4 linked regions of the Saccharomyces cerevisiae S288C genome follow. Changing the gene in region 4 together with the main gene of any one other region gives a genetic interaction. Each region holds a gene or a part of one and is shown on either strand. Other genes may lie near its edges. The genes, in order: COA4, HAP3, FTR1 and FET4.

Region 1 (3,904 bases), on a different chromosome or scaffold from region 4:
AAGAAACTGGACTTCTTGTGCTTCGTGGGAGGATCTTGTGTTTGAGCCTGTATTGTCTTAGTGGCATGTGTCGAAGTGACCATTGTTGGCTCAGCGGCAGATAATTCATTCGTCGATGATGTTGTTGGATCCGTGGCGTCTTCCTGACGCTGAGGGGTTTGGTCCTGTAAAAGCGAAGAAGAAGACTTTAGATTATCCTGCAGTTCCGGTGATCTTGTTCTCGTTGTTGAAGCTACTGCGGAGGTAGGTACATTGCCCTGACTTTGCCCATTCGAGGACGCAGTAGTCGAGTCTATTTGTTGTTGAAGGGGTGAAGGTGAATCTGTAACTACTGGATTCGTCATCACACCTTCGTTTGAAGATGGCTTTGCGGTTGTCACACCTTCCGAAATAGACGCTGCTGGGAAGCTTTCTTCAGCATTACGAGTAACTGGAGTTTGTTCGCCTTGTTCCTTCTTGTGCTGGTAGCCGTAGTTTTCTTGAGAGAATTGCAGCACTTTATCGAACATGGTTTTGAACTTATTTTTGGAAGAACCAGTTGTTTTTGTCTTCTGCAATGGAATGGGCTCGTATTCATGCACTTCGCTTTGGACTGGAATTTCAGAATCCCCTAAATAGTGCTGCTCATTGGGCGGGATGCTCCCAGTGGATCCCAGATGGCTAACGCCGACCTGACGAGGTTTAGCCGCCGTAGTGCTATTATCGACTGCTTCAGGTTGAATACCATGTGAGTTGTAATACCTCGCTTGTGCGATTTTCAAAGCTTGGTCATACATTTCTTTATCTGTTAGCCCTGTGTTTGCACTTTTAGGCTCTGGAACTGGGTCAACAGCCTTATTCGATTTAAAATGTGTAGACACAGAGTGATTGTGCACTTCATGGGGGGCGCTTTTAGTATTTCTGCTGAAGAAGGAACTTGTAAATCTTTTTGGTTGAACCTCGACATTAGATTTGACAAGATTAGCAGTCGCCGTCGGAGAATCACTACTGCTTCTCAAGGTCATTTTTTGACCCATCCTACTTTTCCTGGATTTGTTACTCCCGAGGGGGGCCGATGCGTTATCCGAAGCAGCATCCGTGTGATAAACGTTTCTTTTAGCAACCTCTAGTGCCTTCAGATACATTTCTGCTTCGGTTAATGGTTTCTTGGCCTCTGCTTCTGCGTTTTTCACGGCAGGCGGTCTTTTCTTCCTTCTTGTCGTCGATGCTTGCTTCCTTTTATTATGAATATATTTACTACTGGTCTGATGGGTGGGAGGAATATAATCTAATGCGTCACTGAAGTTTGATAAACTACTTTCTTCTTCTAGAGGCATAACGTCTGTAGAATACTTATGGTGGAAATATGATCCAAGTGGGAAATCTGGTTTTTCCACGTTTAGCTCTGAATCATCTTGTAAATGACTTTCGCTTACTGGGGAATATGGCTTTTCGTTATCTGTTTCGTTTTCCTCGATTATATCGTGAATGTTATCACTAGCTTGTTCCTCTAAAATGTCGTCATCTTGCAACATGTAATTTTCACTAAATTCATCGAAATGACGCTGCGAGTCACCTAATGGAACCAAATTCTTAGTCGTAGTCGTGGTTTCTACGTATTCATACCCATTTATTTTTCTTATTGTCTTTTTGGTAATTGATTGAGTCCTTCCTGAAGGGTCTGTTACTTGTGTAGTCTTTACGGTAATGGAGTTGGCCCTTGAATCGTTATTGTTGCCGGCCGTCGATTTGTTCTTACCGTAGTTTCTTCTGACATTCGCACCAGACGTCATAGAATTCATACGGCTCCCATTAGTAGTATAACCGGGCGGGTGTAAATGGTACTCTCCGCTCCTTTGCGACCTCAACGAGTAAGTCTTCTGTGAATACTGCTTAGCTGCTGCCCTGGACGTTGGCGGAGCGGCAGAGGATGTGGAAAGCCTTCTTCCTGGGCTCTTTACCGAACTTCTTTGTCTCGGTATTGAAGGTGCATGACTAACCAGCGAGTGCGACCTTGAGTAATTGGTTCGATCCGGTGATGCGGCAGAAGCAGCAGAGGCAGCAGCAGCAGAGAGCTGAGGACTTTTGTTATAATCTTCATGGTTCTGATAGTAGTAATCATACCTAGATAAATCAGGTACCCTCCTGTCCCTCTTTGTAAAACCAAATACCATTTTCAACTTTCTTGATCAACAGAATGTCTTTGTTTGTTTATTCTAGTGAAAAAATAGAAGTAAAAAGCAATCAATATAAGCAACGTGAAACGATCGAAGGAAACTAAAAGAGGTTTGATGTTAGAAGAATTGATTAACACCAAATCAAGCAATTTATTGAAGTATGGGTCCCTGATGTTTGTCCTTCTCGTTCTTGCTTTCCCTCCCCTCTTCTCATCCATTCGCTTCATTTATGCTTTTATTTTCTTCTTTTTTTTCTCACAACAAATGTCCGAAACAAAAAAAGGGGCCTCAGCCATTAAAGGTAGTGAAAGGCACTTCTAAGAGTTGCGCCAAACAAGGGAAGATTAAAGGGAAAGAAAAGCTCTGGCAGGCTAAAACTGGCAGACTGGTCATGAGTGAAACTGGCGAAACTTCAGAGTATTATAAGCAGGCGCTGGAAGAATACAAAGAGGTCCAAGAAGACGAAGACCCGGATGTGTGGGACACGAGAATATCCAAGACCGGATGCTACGTAGAGAACCTCGCATTACAGCTGTGCCATGCCGAAACAGGTGACTGGAGGCAGTGCTTCAACGAGATGGCGTTATTTAGGAAGTGTTGGGAAAAGAATGGTAATAGAGAGCGCGTAAGCACAGTGGACGTGGATGGGACGACCAGTAAGGATTCGGAAAAGAAGAAATGAAAATCTAAATGTCGTGATGTATAACTTGTATATAATAGACAGCTGCAGTGATCGAAACACATTGTTTCCCTTTATAGAACATAACTGTTACGCTTTTGAACGGCATTTCTATGAGCTTCTAGAATATTTTTCCGCCCTAGCTGGAGAAAGTTCAGACAGAAAATTATTTAAATAAGTCGAATATCAGAGGTGCTGATGCGCTCACATCACATAGAAAACTGGTAAGACAATATTCAGGCGATCAAGGAGTAAAAATGACTAGACCTAAAACTTTTTTTGATATTTCTATTGGAGGTAAACCCCAAGGCCGTATAGTTTTTGAGTTGTACAATGACATAGTGCCTAAAACGGCTGAAAATTTTTTGAAGTTGTGTGAAGGAAATGCTGGTATGGCAAAGACTAAACCTGATGTACCATTGTCGTACAAGGGTTCCATTTTCCACAGAGTGATCAAAGACTTCATGTGTCAATTTGGTGATTTTACCAATTTTAATGGTACTGGCGGTGAGAGCATATACGATGAAAAATTCGAGGATGAAAATTTCACTGTTAAACATGATAAACCATTCCTTCTATCCATGGCCAACGCCGGTCCAAATACCAATGGATCTCAAGCTTTCATAACCTGTGTTCCTACACCTCATTTGGACGGGAAGCACGTTGTGTTTGGTGAAGTGATTCAAGGTAAAAGAATTGTTCGTTTGATTGAAAACCAACAATGTGACCAAGAAAACAACAAGCCATTGCGTGATGTAAAGATTGATGACTGTGGCGTGTTACCTGACGATTATCAAGTGCCAGAGAATGCCGAAGCTACACCAACAGATGAGTACGGCGATAATTATGAAGATGTTTTAAAACAAGACGAAAAAGTTGACTTGAAGAATTTCGACACCGTCTTGAAAGCTATCGAAACGGTAAAGAACATTGGTACTGAACAGTTCAAGAAACAGAACTATTCCGTGGCTTTAGAAAAATATGTCAAATGTGATAAATTCTTGAAAGAGTATTTCCCAGAAGATTTGGAGAAGGAACAAATTGAAAAAATCAATCAATTGAAAGTGTC
Region 2 (3,842 bases), on a different chromosome or scaffold from region 4:
TCTTCTTCCCAATTTTGTCCAAATTCCGAACTCTTCTTAATAAAACTTTCAAGAACCTTAATCTAAACATCTCACCCTCCTCCGATGAGTTCGAATTTGCGGGACAATATACACTGATAATAACTATTCCACATGCCAGTTCAACCATAACACATCTGCCTTCTGAATCTAGTTCCAGTGCACTTTTCTCATCTAAATCGGGATCTAAAGAATCGTAACCACCAATTCCTTGATTTACGTCGTTTCTATAGGAGATTGCTGAATGCTTACCATTTTTTATTGTCAAGTAACCCGTTATACCTTCTTCTGCCTTAACGACTTGTAATGCATGGTATAGTGGGTGGTTCTTTTCCGGAATTCTAATCCAGCAGCCAACGCCAGAATATCCCTTTCTGGTTTGAGGGATAGAAATAAAAGAATAAAAACCATCAACTCTCCCCCACTTAGAGATAGACAATTTTTCCGTCTTGAGCTCTTGGAATGTTATTATGTCTGCTCGAAAAAAGTCGAAAACAGATCTAAGGGATTGATTCATTTGAGAAAATGGTTGATAATGAAAAAAGGTTCTTATACCATTGACATTGAAAGTTAAAAATCGTATTGTGTTCTCTGACTTTCCATCCAGTAACGTGTTTTCGCTTGATGACATAGTGTCCTGACAAGGAAAGGGATTTTCTTTACGGTGAAATAGCTTCTCTCTTGGTTGCCTATCTTTTATTGGGTAATTTTTCAGCACTTTCACATCATATAGTACATACAAACTAACTTTCTGAAGGACTAATAAATAAAAAAAAATGAATGCTTTTTGATAATATACTCACTATATGTTATTTAAGCGCATATTATGTGTCGCCTAAGTTATATAAGAATTTTTGTTTATACATCTTTAGAATTGGAAACCGCCCTCTTGTTAATAAAAGATTGTATGGTTTGGCGCTCCTTGACCAAAATTAACGCTAACAATCCCATTGCGAATAATACGTTAACAACAAATTGTTGTAAATTTTTAACGTACCCAATAAACCACCAGTCAAGTAGACAGATCGTTGAGCCAGCAATAATAACTGTTTTGAAATCCTTAAAATTGAAGAAAAAAGAGGAATCTGTAAACAGTTCCCTATGAAATTTATTCAAGAAAACTCCACAATACAATATTCTCAACACCATGTTAATGATGTTACTCAATATCAAGCCTTCGATTGATAGTTTGAGTTTTTCAATAAGAAGCCAGGAATTGAGCAGGAAAATACCAGAAAAGGCCATCATAAAATATGAATGTTTCAAAATTTGGTCACCAGTGGCTACACTCTGGAAAAAAGCTTCAAAAATACCATTAAGCGATAAAAATGGGATGTAAAAGCAGTAGACTCTTATAGTGTCCAAAACGGAAGTAGTGGACCATTTCGAGCCAATCAAGAACTGCAATAAAAAGGATGAATTGGCAGGCCCAAATACAATGATCATTAACGATAAGTATATGTAAAACCTTGTTAAATTCACCAGGACTTCAATAGATAGTTTTAAATTTTTAGGGTTATGCGAGGATAATAAACGGGCCAAAAATAACCGCAGAGATTCTTCGATCGGCGCAAATAATAATCTTGTTAGTAGCGATCCATAGTTCGACAATAGAGCGTAAATGCCTTGTTCTTCCACAGTACATAAAGAATTGATAATCAACTTATCACCCTCTGTCAACAAATGCTTAAAACATAGTTGAAAATAAACTTTTTTGAAGTGCTGTAAAATGTCGTTTTGGAAAAAATAAGATGTGCTCTTTGGGTAGCCTTTCTTCAATTCGTTATTTTCACGCGTTTTTATCTTCGTTAGCCTGGTACTGAACAATTTCTTTGGTTTGAAATTCTTGAGATAGTCCCAGTAGTAACATGCTAGCAGGGTGATCGAATGTGCTAACTTTCCCAAGGCAAATGCCAATATGGCGATGCCTTCTTTGTCAATGTCCGATGTGACAACCCCCATTGGGTAGCGGGATTGCTGAACGGCATAAACAACTATAAAATTGACAATACATCCTGTAGTCACCGCGATGCTTTCAAATCTTGACCTTGCGGCATAGTTCAACATAAACTGGTTGACGATGAAGAATGGCTCGCTTAACAGCTCCACGATGATACTCAGCCAGATAAGAAAAATCGACCACCTGAAGAATGGAAGAGTGATGAAATACGCGTTGATGTTTCTGTACTGCCAGGCGATAAGACCAATGGACAGTGGAAACCCGATCCAAAACGGAATGTAAGCAAAATTGACTGCGGTTTGCAAAACTTTAGACTTGTAATGAGTTTCCTGGTACTCCTCCTCGTCGTCATCATCGATTATTCCATTACCGGAGTCTGAGATTCTCAACGTCGACAGACGAATCGCATCTCTGCTAAAAAATAACACTGTGCCCTGTATAAATTCTAGAAAGGCCGTGATACCGAAAATTCTGGGCGACAGAAACCTGATCAACAAATTATTTAGTATGAACGTTACCAGTTTGGTGAAAAGTTGGCCCATCATGAGGAAGGTAGCTCCTGTTGTGGACCTTTCCAAGATCTGCTCACTAGTAGAGGGCAATTGTGAGTTTTTTTTCGCCATTTTTTCTTTTCCTTCACTGACAAAAGCAGAATCAACTTCAAATCACCCTATCTGTGGCCCTTTACTGCTACTAATACGCATTGTCTTCTCCAGGCTGCGATTACTGCAAACCTTCTGCCAAAATATAGCACAATAGAAGTACCATATTACGTTCGATGCCACGACAATATCGCGCTACGTGCGTTTTTTGGTCCGCTCTTTCAGACTAAGTAAAAAAAGAGCTGCGAATAGTAGCTTTCCGCCAATCAAACTCAAGAGCAGGACTAAGCTAGATAGTAACACAAGTGGCACAAACCTCTCGAGAATATGAATACCAACGAGTCCGAACATGTTAGCACAAGCCCAGAGGATACTCAGGAGAACGGTGGAAACGCTAGCTCCAGCGGCAGTTTGCAGCAAATTTCCACGCTAAGAGAGCAGGACAGATGGCTACCCATCAACAATGTAGCGCGACTCATGAAGAATACTCTCCCACCGAGTGCTAAGGTATCGAAAGATGCGAAAGAGTGCATGCAGGAGTGTGTCAGTGAGCTCATTTCTTTTGTGACTAGCGAGGCCAGCGATCGATGCGCTGCTGACAAAAGAAAGACGATAAACGGGGAAGACATTCTCATATCATTGCACGCCTTAGGATTCGAGAACTATGCAGAGGTGTTGAAAATCTACTTGGCTAAATACAGGCAACAACAGGCGCTGAAGAATCAACTAATGTATGAGCAGGACGACGAAGAGGTGCCTTGAGAAGACAAAACCAGGTGGTAGATCGCAAAAGTTGCTAGCTGTCAGGATGGAATAGCACGGGGCTATTTCCTGCTGGTCGTTGGTTCTCGTGTAATTAATGAATGTAACGATATAGATAATATTTTATTGTTAGTGTGTAATGTATTCAATGTAATGTATGGGTGCTTTGTAAAGGGTGTATGATGTTTGCCACCGGAAGGAAATAAGTCAGACGAAGTCTTTTAGCCATGCTTTTGCATTGGTATTGCAGCAACGACAAGCTGATACGGTTACTAGGACACCTAAAACCTGATAATACAGTGTGCATTTGCAGCTGTTTCAAAGTTTAGTTGTTTTTTCTTTTGGTTTTCGAGGTGCTTGAACGAAAAGATTTGCAAATAGAGCATGCTAAGAACAAGAACCACAAAGACCCTTAGCACAGTGGCGAGGACCACAAGAGCTATCCAATATTACCGATCTATCGCTAAGACTGCTGCAGTTTCTCAAAGAAGGTTCGCATC
Region 3 (4,548 bases), on a different chromosome or scaffold from region 4:
GCGGGGCCGTAGAAGAGTACACGCGGCTTGCACAATCTGGCGGTACATCCAGCGAGGTGAAGATGATATCGCTTCTGAATTGCTACACAGTGCAGGCGGCAAGAGTGAGCCGATGTTCGGGGGACAAACAGGGCGAACTCGTAGAGCAATGCAACAAGGTGTGGCTTCAGGTGGAGAAATTGCTACAAGAAACGGATCTGCAGTTCAACCCCATATGGGAGTGCACAGTAACGATCCTATGGCTTTTCAGCCATTTCGAGCCGTTCAGTTGGAACCCGCTGCCATGTAGTGACAAGCAGCGCGCCGAGTACGTGTCGAAGCTCCGCGAGTTCTACTCTAGCAACAAGTTCGTTGCCGGAGAAGCCGTTGCGGACAACCGCTTCAAATTGAAGAAGGCTCTGTTGCTGCAAATACTGGTAAACTACTTAGGCGGTCGAATGCTCGAACACGATCTGGGCGAGATCTATGCGATTTCAGCAAAGTGTTTCGATATGTGCCGCCAGCAGGGCGGCATGCGCAAGGTCCAATACGTGATCGGAATATGGCATTTAATGAATTGTACGGTGGCGATGCGGGGAAAAGACGTCGCTCTCACGAACGCGAAGCTGGAGGCGCTGGTTAAGCAAATCACCAGTGTCAAACAATAAACCAAAAAAAAAAAAAGAAACACTTGATTTCCTTTATCTATTTTTATACTTAATTATTTTTTTTAGATGCACTATACAAATTCGCGTTAATTTTTGCCTTTTTACAACGCCTCCGTAGGGGTCTTTTTGCCGCCTGGCACAAGGATGGCAATATTGTTGCCGCTTAAAAGCATTCTGCCATGGTGCTGCATAACTTTCTCATTTCTGCTCTCGTCCTCAGGATCGATAAGCCACTCGACAGCGTCTTCCAGTATAACGTTGACGAAGTCGTCGAAACCAACTAACGTGCCCTCGAACTCGCGGTTCGACTGCAGCACAATCAACACTTTCTGGTTAATTGTTTTATCTATGACTTCCAAAGGCAAAATCTCCGGTAGACTCATTTTGCGCGCTTCTGTGTATGCTTGTGAGTGCACGTGTATACGCTATGCTTGTTGTGAGACCATCTATCCGCCAAGGAAGCCTTTTTCGCTTTCTCTGTATTTTTTCTACTTCAATAAGAAAGCAAGTATTCTGTTTTGCTACCCGGATGCAAAGACAAAACCCGAGCATCCGGGTAATAAAAGAGCAGGGTCCGGCTGAAGGTGCCAAAAAAGACCAAAAAGGGCTATATTATCTCTCTCTTACGATTGCCTCTGGTTAAAAAATGAAATAGATAATAAAAGGGCAGCAAAGAAAAAAAAGAAGAATACAATATACGTATACGTTCTCAACAATTTTTCGTCCTGTTTTTTTCTTGACCACGGTCACTACTAACTCCTGAGACATCAGACCAACGTGTAGAAAAAAAGAAATCGGGTCCGGCACTGACACACGCTCTGCGCCAATCAACCAGGGCGCATCGAGCATTCTTTCCAGGCCAGGGTGCAGAAATACTATTATTAAGTGCGCGAATACTGCTGGTGCATTAAACGAGCGAGTACAGTGAGCCCGCCGCTGACTGCCGACTCACGCCAGGCCGCTATTTCCTTCCCCCGCCCGCGTAAGCCGTGCCGAGCACCGTCGCAGCAGTAAGAAGGTGCGCATTTCATTCTCTGCACAGCGTAGATGAATGCACCCGATTTCTAAGTTGGTGTTGCAAGGCCCGGTGGAAGCGATGGGCTGTAGTTCGACCTTGAGCTTTTAGTTATATAAAATGCTCAATGTGAGCAAAAAAATACATAACACGACGGATTGTACGTTGTCGAAATCTTCTCTCAGCAGGTCATCACACATATACTTCCCGCCATGCCTAACAAAGTGTTTAACGTGGCCGTTTTCTTCGTTGTGTTCAGAGAGTGCTTGGAAGCAGTGATTGTTATTTCCGTGCTGCTATCGTTTTTGAAACAGGCAATCGGGGAACATGACCGGGCGCTGTACCGTAAATTAAGGATTCAGGTTTGGGTCGGTGTGTTACTCGGGTTCATCATTTGTCTGGCCATCGGTGCAGGTTTCATCGGTGCGTACTATTCGCTGCAGAAGGATATTTTCGGAAGCGCGGAAGACTTGTGGGAAGGTATCTTTTGTATGATTGCGACGATAATGATCTCGATGATGGGTATTCCTATGTTGAGAATGAATAAGATGCAGAGTAAGTGGAGAGTGAAGATTGCGCGGTCGTTGGTGGAGATTCCTCACCGTAAGAGAGACTATTTCAAGATTGGGTTCTTGAGTAGAAGATATGCTATGTTCCTTTTGCCGTTTATTACTGTCTTGAGAGAAGGTTTGGAAGCTGTTGTGTTCGTTGCCGGTGCAGGTATTACCACACAGGGCTCGCACGCCTCTGCTTACCCATTGCCCGTTGTGGTTGGTTTGATATGTGGTGGTCTTGTTGGGTATTTGTTGTACTATGGTGCTTCGAAATCCTCGCTGCAGATTTTCTTGATTTTGTCTACTTCGATCTTGTACCTGATCTCCGCCGGTCTTTTCTCTCGTGGTGCGTGGTACTTTGAAAATTACAGATTCAACCTTGCCAGTGGTGGTGATGCTTCCGAAGGCGGTGATGGTAATGGGTCTTATAACATCAGAAAGGCCGTTTACCATGTCAATTGTTGCAACCCAGAACTGGACAATGGGTGGGATATCTTCAATGCTTTGCTTGGATGGCAGAACACCGGCTACTTGTCATCCATGCTTTGTTACAACATCTATTGGTTGGTTCTTATCATTGTGTTGAGTTTAATGATATTCGAAGAAAGGCGTGGTCACTTGCCTTTCACCAAAAACTTACAATTGAAACACTTGAACCCAGGATACTGGATCAAGAACAAGAAAAAGCAGGAGTTGACGGAAGAGCAAAAGAGACAACTGTTTGCCAAGATGGAGAACATCAACTTCAATGAAGATGGTGAGATCAATGTGCAAGAGAACTACGAACTTCCCGAGCAAACTACCAGTCATTCCTCGTCTCAAAACGTCGCCACAGACAAGGAAGTCCTCCACGTTAAAGCCGACTCTCTTTGAATGAAGTCTAGCACAGGGTGGGAGTTTTCCACCTATTTTCTGTTGATAAAAATACTACATTTATATACATATATACAATAATTTCTAATATCGTTTTTATAAAGTTGGCCTTGTCTGTACGGCGTCGCAAAACAAGAACCCCTGGTCCAATTGATCTACCGGGCATTGATTTTTTTTCTTTTTTCCTTGCGCCTCACTTCAACACATCAAGTAAACACCAGCTATATTTAGTTGCTAGGTATTCTCCAACGTATGTGGAGTCCTTTCTTTATTATCTCTCTACACAAATAGGCACAAGCGTAATGGGCTCAGAACAAGCCTTAAGTGAGGTTGTCGAATCTGCTAAAGAGCGGTTCGGCAGGCTTAGGCATTTAGTTCAGAAGTTTCTTGATGATGACGACGTGCCACAAGAGTGTCTGCCTTTGCTCCAAGAATGCGCAGAAATATGGTCTAGTTATGTGGACGCATGCCAGGATATAACCATGCAGGCCCCTAAAGAAGATGCAAACCGGTTGTCAAAGGGGTTTCTCCGATTGAATGAAACAGCTTTTTTATATTACATGATCGTATATACGCTCTTGGAGGATACTCTACCAAGACTAAAGGAATTTTCGAGCAACAAGGACCAGAATGTTAGAAATTTGTACGGGGAGAGAATCCAGCTTTTGCATAATGACCCAAATATTGAGCGGATTCGAAATGTCATTGAAAATTACCCTAAATTTATACAGTTGCAAACTATAGAGCCTGGAAAATTAAGTTCAATGTTGCATTTTCATGGTGACGCTCTCTTGCTTATCGATGTACGGCCCAGGTCTGAATTCGTTAGGGCCCATATCAAATGCAAAAACATTATATGCATCGATCCTGCCTCATTTAAGGATTCTTTTACAGACCAACAAATTGAAAGTGTCTCTTTGATCACTTCGCCGCACTCAGATATCACTTTCTTTTCAAATCGAGACAAGTTCAAGTTCATTATTTTATATACTGACACTCAATTGCATAATAATTTCCAGCAAAGGCAAACTCGCATCCTTGCGAAGATTCTTTCCCAAAATTCAGTAATTAAACCGCTGAGTGGGACGAAAATACTCATTTTGGAAAATGGGTTCTCAAACTGGGTTAAATTAGGTGGGGCGTATCAATCATCTGTCAGTGAAACAGCGCATCTTACATCCTCGTCTTCAACGCCAGCTTTTGGTAGTCCGCAAGTCCCAACAGGCTTGTTCAATCAGAAATCTCTATCTCCAAATAAAGATAAGAGTATGCCGATGGTATCCATGAATACGCAGCCTTTGCTAACAACGGTGCAAAGGCCTCAATTACCCTTATACTATTCAGATTTGCCCATTATACCGCAACCAAGCCCCAACAGAAATTCTCCCACCGTTCAAAAATTTAGTCCACATCCACCAACCACTCTCTCAAAACTCAATACACCCTCGACCATTCAAAA
Region 4 (5,013 bases):
ACAAGTAAGATGGGGTAAAAGAAGATAAATCTCCACCGGATCTAAACCTTTGCCAATAATCCTCACATGGTGGAGCTACAATCTCGCCTTCTCCGACCAGTCACGATTAATTAAATTGCCTAAAATTAACTTTTATATTCCCATACAGTCGATATTGCTAGCTCAAAAGGCGTTATATTCGAAAGTTGTATCCAAATATTCCATCTAATGTATTATTGGCAAAAGGATTCCGTGATCTGTGTTCCCAAGAACAATCATAACCTTGAAAAATTATTCGCCAATCATTACATGCGGCAAACTAAAAAGCCTTTTTTTGTTGGCTCCGTGGCTCTATTGTCGCAGCTGATAAAAGCAGGTGCCCTTGGATATTTTCGAGAAATATATGACAACTTATTGATGTTTTGCTGGATCAAGTTTACGTGAAGGCAAATTTTCATAAAAGTGTAAAGTATTAACTCTTGAAGGTGCAATAACTCAATGGGTTTTTTTACCTTACAACTCAGCACCATCTTATAATTACAAGGCTGTAATATGTGAGGCCTGGCCGAAATTTCATGTGAAACAATACATGGCTTTCCAAATCTACGCATTTTTAGAGCTTTTCGTGAATGTCGTTACGCTGCTCCCTGACTTAACAATCCCGTTAGGGTATCTACTTCAGAGCAGATTACAATATCAAGAATGTTGTTGGTAGGTATTTGTAAACTTGAATTAGAATCCAAAAAGCCTTTACTAGGAGCTATTTTTAATAGTGTTTATGTTTTTCTTCGAGTACTCTATGAGATGGAAAATTGTCGCCTACGAAAATTTAGTACCTTCTCTTTATCCCAGTGACAAGTTATGCATGCTTGTTATACGATGTTAAATCTTCACTTAAAATCCTCTGGAGATGTACCGATTCCGGTAGGTTTCACTCGAAATTTAGCATATTTCAGTTTGGTTTCCTAACACGACCAGTCGCAGGTGAGAGTCTTGGAATTATCCTTCAACACTGTGTGTTATTGTAGATCAGTAATTAAAGATCAGTGTAGTATTTTCAAATATTCTTTACTTCAGTAAGGACAGAATTTGTAGTGACATTTAATGAAGAATAACAAAGGGATATGGATGTCAGGCGACATTACTCGACGTAAATTACTCTCACGAAGGCAAAAATATAACCTAGCCATTGAGTCCTAACCTACTATTAGCGAGATCTTTCTCATTTCGGCTTTAGAGTGTTCATTTTAATACGATGGCCAAAATTAAAAAAATTCGGCCATCAGACCTTGTCGCTTTACTAAGAAGTTATACGGATGAAGATGAATTACTTGAATAAAGATCTTCACTCACTAAATGAAAACATCTGCAGCACGTGCTTGTTATGCTTAACTCCTTGTAAAAATAGTGTATTTCAAAAAATACGCAGTGACAGAGTAAAGATACCCTAACTTTTGTCCGTTGTCCTCCGGTTCCATCATTGCCAAACTAAAGTACTAAGACCATTATCGTGGGTAAGATCATACATTTAAATAAAATAAAAGATACGTAAGCACCTAGATTCCTGGGACAAGCAGCTCAAAATATTTGTTCCTCTTTCCTGTATGAACTGTCAATGCGTTGCTGCTTCGCTGCACGTATTAAGGATTTTGATGGAAGGTCCAACAAAGAAAAAGAAACGTGCGCTTTTAAAAAAAGAAGCTTTTCCTACCAAAAGTTCTTTGATCTGCTTATTCAACGTAGCATCTTATTCGCATACATTGGACTCATGTTTAAGGCATTCTAATCACACCAGTTTCCTTGCATATGAGCAAATATCTGTGCTTGCTGTTCTAACCATACGTACTACTACGTTGATTGGATTATAATGTCCTTTGGGTATTCTCCGATTACGTTGTCCCATTTTTCTTTTTTGCCTTGTTGCGAAGAGCGTTGTTCCGAAAACCGGGTGCACTTTTTGTTCACTTTATATATCCCACGAGGAGACTGCGCGAACATGATATGTTTGACCTGGCATAGTGCTATTGTTCATAAACAATAAGCCCCCTAAATACCTGCATGTACGAAGGTGTACGTACGGTCATTCGCATTTCCCTAGCATTACTTTCAGTACTGGACAGGTTATTTTTACCCCTCTAGTTTGCGACTACCACTAAATGGGCCATTTTTACGTGTCTACGACATATCGCAAGGGTTTTTTTCTTTTGTCTTATTCGAGTAATTATATAAGCGCGCGTAGTCATTTTTTTAGCGAGACCCTAGGGTCCTGTAGCAGTAATTTGAGGTTTTCATGGCTCGAACAACGACAAAATATTGAGGAATCTTGAGCCTTATTGGGGCGTAAATCACACAGGTGTTGAATGAGCTTGGAGCTTGTGCGGTTATGTATTAGATATGGGCAGTTTCCTTTAACGTTGGCGCCTCTTTCTTTCCTACCCGTGGGGTTGCTCTCGAAACTGATTAGGTCATGAGCATTTTTGCTGAGTCTTTTTAGGAAGCAGCATTTTTCTCAAACGAAAAAAAAAAAAACCAAAAAAAAAAATAAAGACAAAAAAACTATATAATGCTACTGGCCTTGAACTTGCTTGGTAGAAGCCTTCTTAATTGCACCCATTAGTTTAGCATCTACCACATCTTGATTCGATGCTCTTCATTTAGAAATACTTGTTTATATAAATATACTTCACACGGCATGAATTAATTGATAGGTAAGTAAGTTTCTTTTATCATAAGTCAAACAGTATCAGATATAAGAAGGGAAAAGGTAGATATAGAAACCTAATAAGACCCTTATTATTAAACATTCGTTAATCAAATTATGGGTAAAATTGCAGAGTTTCTCGGGAATCCAGGTGCTAGGCCTGACGTTCATCATAGAGCACCTACTGTTGACTGCAAACAGTACGAAGAATTCGGTGATTCTAACGATTACAAAAATGATGATGTGGTCAGAGTAGTCAGCCATAGCGATGAGAGTACTGATGACGAACTTTGTAATGTGAATTTAACAGAAACAGGGGCAATCTTCACGAGTAAAGGTTTTACCGGGTTAAGCAAAGGTTTCACAGATAAGACCCTGGATTTCCTGGTACGAGTGGCCGGTTCGCAGGCGGTTTTTTTTATTGTTTGGATCATCCTCATAATTTGGGTGGTTATTGGTATTGTTTATAACGCACCTTTCAATTGGCAAGTTGTTATGCAGGACGGACAGTCTATTCAAAGTTATGTTTGGGACACACTGTTGATGAGACAACAGTTGATGAGTACGCATGAACAAATTTTGATCTGCGGTAGATTGAAGTCGAGATTGGCTTCCTTCAAAAACTATCTAACAAGAAGCACCCCAGAGGAAGAAAAAGCAGACTGCACAGTTGAAGCTAATGAAGTCAGCTCTGTTGAAAATCATATAGACCCATCTGCCATTAACGGAGAACTGCCTGTGGAAAATTGGTACGACCGTTTATCTAACGTAGCAAGTAGGTATATGGGTTCAATTGCAGCAATGGTGATATTTTGGATAGGTATTTTCGTTTGGATTGGTTGCGGTGCTATCCCAAAAGATGCGGGCAACACTCCACCTTACACCGGAGAAACTACAGGTAGTAATCCAAGATTGAAAAAGTTCAGTGACGCTTGGCAGATGTATATTAACACTGCAGTTGCAGTTTCCCTTCTAATTTGCACTACTTTCTTACAAAATATAAGGGCTAGACATGATTATTTCACGGGGAGGTTTTTAGTTGATATCTTTGATATGGACGAGAAAATCGACTATCGTATAAGAAAGCATTTTAACGATTTTGAAACACCTCACCCAGTTGTTACTATTGAATCTAAAAAAAGGTCGACAGGGAGAAAGATGATTGATTGGTATGCTGATATTATTGGTACTGGTATTGGTGTCCTGATTGGTGTGGCAGTGTTCGCCACATGGATTGGTATTGGTTCGCCAATGAAGTGGGATGATAATTGGTGGTTGATTATCGGTACATACACAGGTTTAATTGGGTTTTTGGACGGTTTCGTTTTGAGAGAAGTGTACTTCCGAATCGTTCAACATGAAGAGAAAAATTATTCTGATGTGGCTAAAGAAGACCTTGAATTATTCCAAGAATTAGGTATTGAATGTCCCGAAGAATTTAGTGGTAAAGCTCCTGAAATTAACACTATTGGTTACAGAACATCCCAATATATTAATAGGATCTGCTCAACTCCATGGAGTGTTCTTGTATCCGTCATCATCATCATTGGTTTAATTTGTATTGCTTCCGGTTTGCGTTGGAGTACAACAGGTCAATTGATTGCTAACACGCCAACTATGATTATCGAAGAATTTTTCTTGCTAGTTTTGTTGCAAGCACATAATTGGGCCGATCGTCAAAGAAGAGTGGAGGTTACCGCTTTGTACGCACGTAGGCGCATACTTCTATCATACGTAGAAAAGCGTTTCCCAGAGGTTATGATGTTGGAAAAATAGCTTCATTGAACATTTTAGCATTAGTGGGAAGAATTCCTCATGTTACTTATGAGGGAGTTAATTTTCCTTAGGGATTTTAGGAATTTCTATACGGAGGTAGCGATCGACCTTAGAACTTTTATTTAGTTTGTACATATACCTCACCTGAGTTTTGCTTTTTTCTCTGGGAGCCTAAACCATTTAAAATGATATATAATAGATAATAAATCCAGGATAAAATGTGGCTAATTGATCTTTTTTCATTTTCAACTTGGTAATGACGTACTGGATACTTTCGACGCTCTTTTTTAGTCCCCGATCCCCGTCTTCCAGGACCTTGACGTGGAATTCCGATCACAGCCACTCTCGTCACGGCTCCGTTAAAATGAATGGTTTTCCGTTACATTTACTGGTCTTTTTATCTTTTTACAGTAAATGGGTGATATACTGTGACACAATTTGTGTCTCTACTGTGTGAACTTCCATTGCTGACTAAAGATTCCCCGCTCCGCTTATATGTCCGGTCCGTCCTTGACCGAAGATCACATTGCCAATTTTTCACATCTGGAAGCGATACG

The links.
Region 1: mutations in FET4 (region 4) and COA4 together harm fitness more than expected from each alone (negative genetic interaction), as found in Saccharomyces cerevisiae (2 studies listed by BioGRID).
Region 2: mutations in FET4 (region 4) and HAP3 together harm fitness more than expected from each alone (negative genetic interaction), as found in Saccharomyces cerevisiae (2 studies listed by BioGRID).
Region 3: mutations in FET4 (region 4) and FTR1 together harm fitness more than expected from each alone (negative genetic interaction), as found in Saccharomyces cerevisiae (2 studies listed by BioGRID).

What each region holds. Positions count from the first base shown.
Region 1 is NC_001144.5:572,400-576,303, reverse strand, and holds COA4 (Coa4p), read left to right. Parts: upstream 1-2,385; coding exon 2,386-2,838; downstream 2,839-3,904. Other genes in the region: MSC3 (Msc3p), read right to left, coding at 1-2,153; peptidylprolyl isomerase CPR6, read left to right, coding at 3,093-3,904. UniProt on the Saccharomyces cerevisiae protein: Involved in cytochrome c oxidase assembly or stability.
Region 2 is NC_001134.8:181,160-185,001, reverse strand, and holds HAP3 (Hap3p), read left to right. Parts: upstream 1-2,907; coding exon 2,908-3,342; downstream 3,343-3,842. Other genes in the region: DNA-(apurinic or apyrimidinic site) lyase APN2, read right to left, coding at 1-649; RFT1 (glycolipid translocation protein), read right to left, coding at 877-2,601; ATP-dependent Lon protease PIM1, read left to right, coding at 3,727-3,842. UniProt on the Saccharomyces cerevisiae protein: Acts a component of the CCAT-binding factor, which is a transcriptional activator and binds to the upstream activation site (UAS2) of the CYC1 gene and other genes involved in mitochondrial electron transport and activates their expression.
Region 3 is NC_001137.3:459,067-463,614, reverse strand, and holds FTR1 (high-affinity iron permease FTR1), read left to right. Parts: upstream 1-1,874; coding exon 1,875-3,089; downstream 3,090-4,548. Other genes in the region: cohesin-loading factor complex subunit SCC4, read left to right, coding at 1-647; RNA-binding protein LSM5, read right to left, coding at 749-1,030; YER145C-A (uncharacterized protein), read left to right, coding at 792-1,229; putative ubiquitin-specific protease UBP5, read left to right, coding at 3,392-4,548. UniProt on the Saccharomyces cerevisiae protein: Permease for high affinity iron uptake.
Region 4 is NC_001145.3:912,323-917,335, reverse strand, and holds FET4 (Fet4p), read left to right. Parts: upstream 1-2,797; coding exon 2,798-4,456; downstream 4,457-5,013. Other genes in the region: YMR320W (uncharacterized protein), read right to left, coding at 285-590. UniProt on the Saccharomyces cerevisiae protein: Required for Fe(2+) ion low affinity uptake.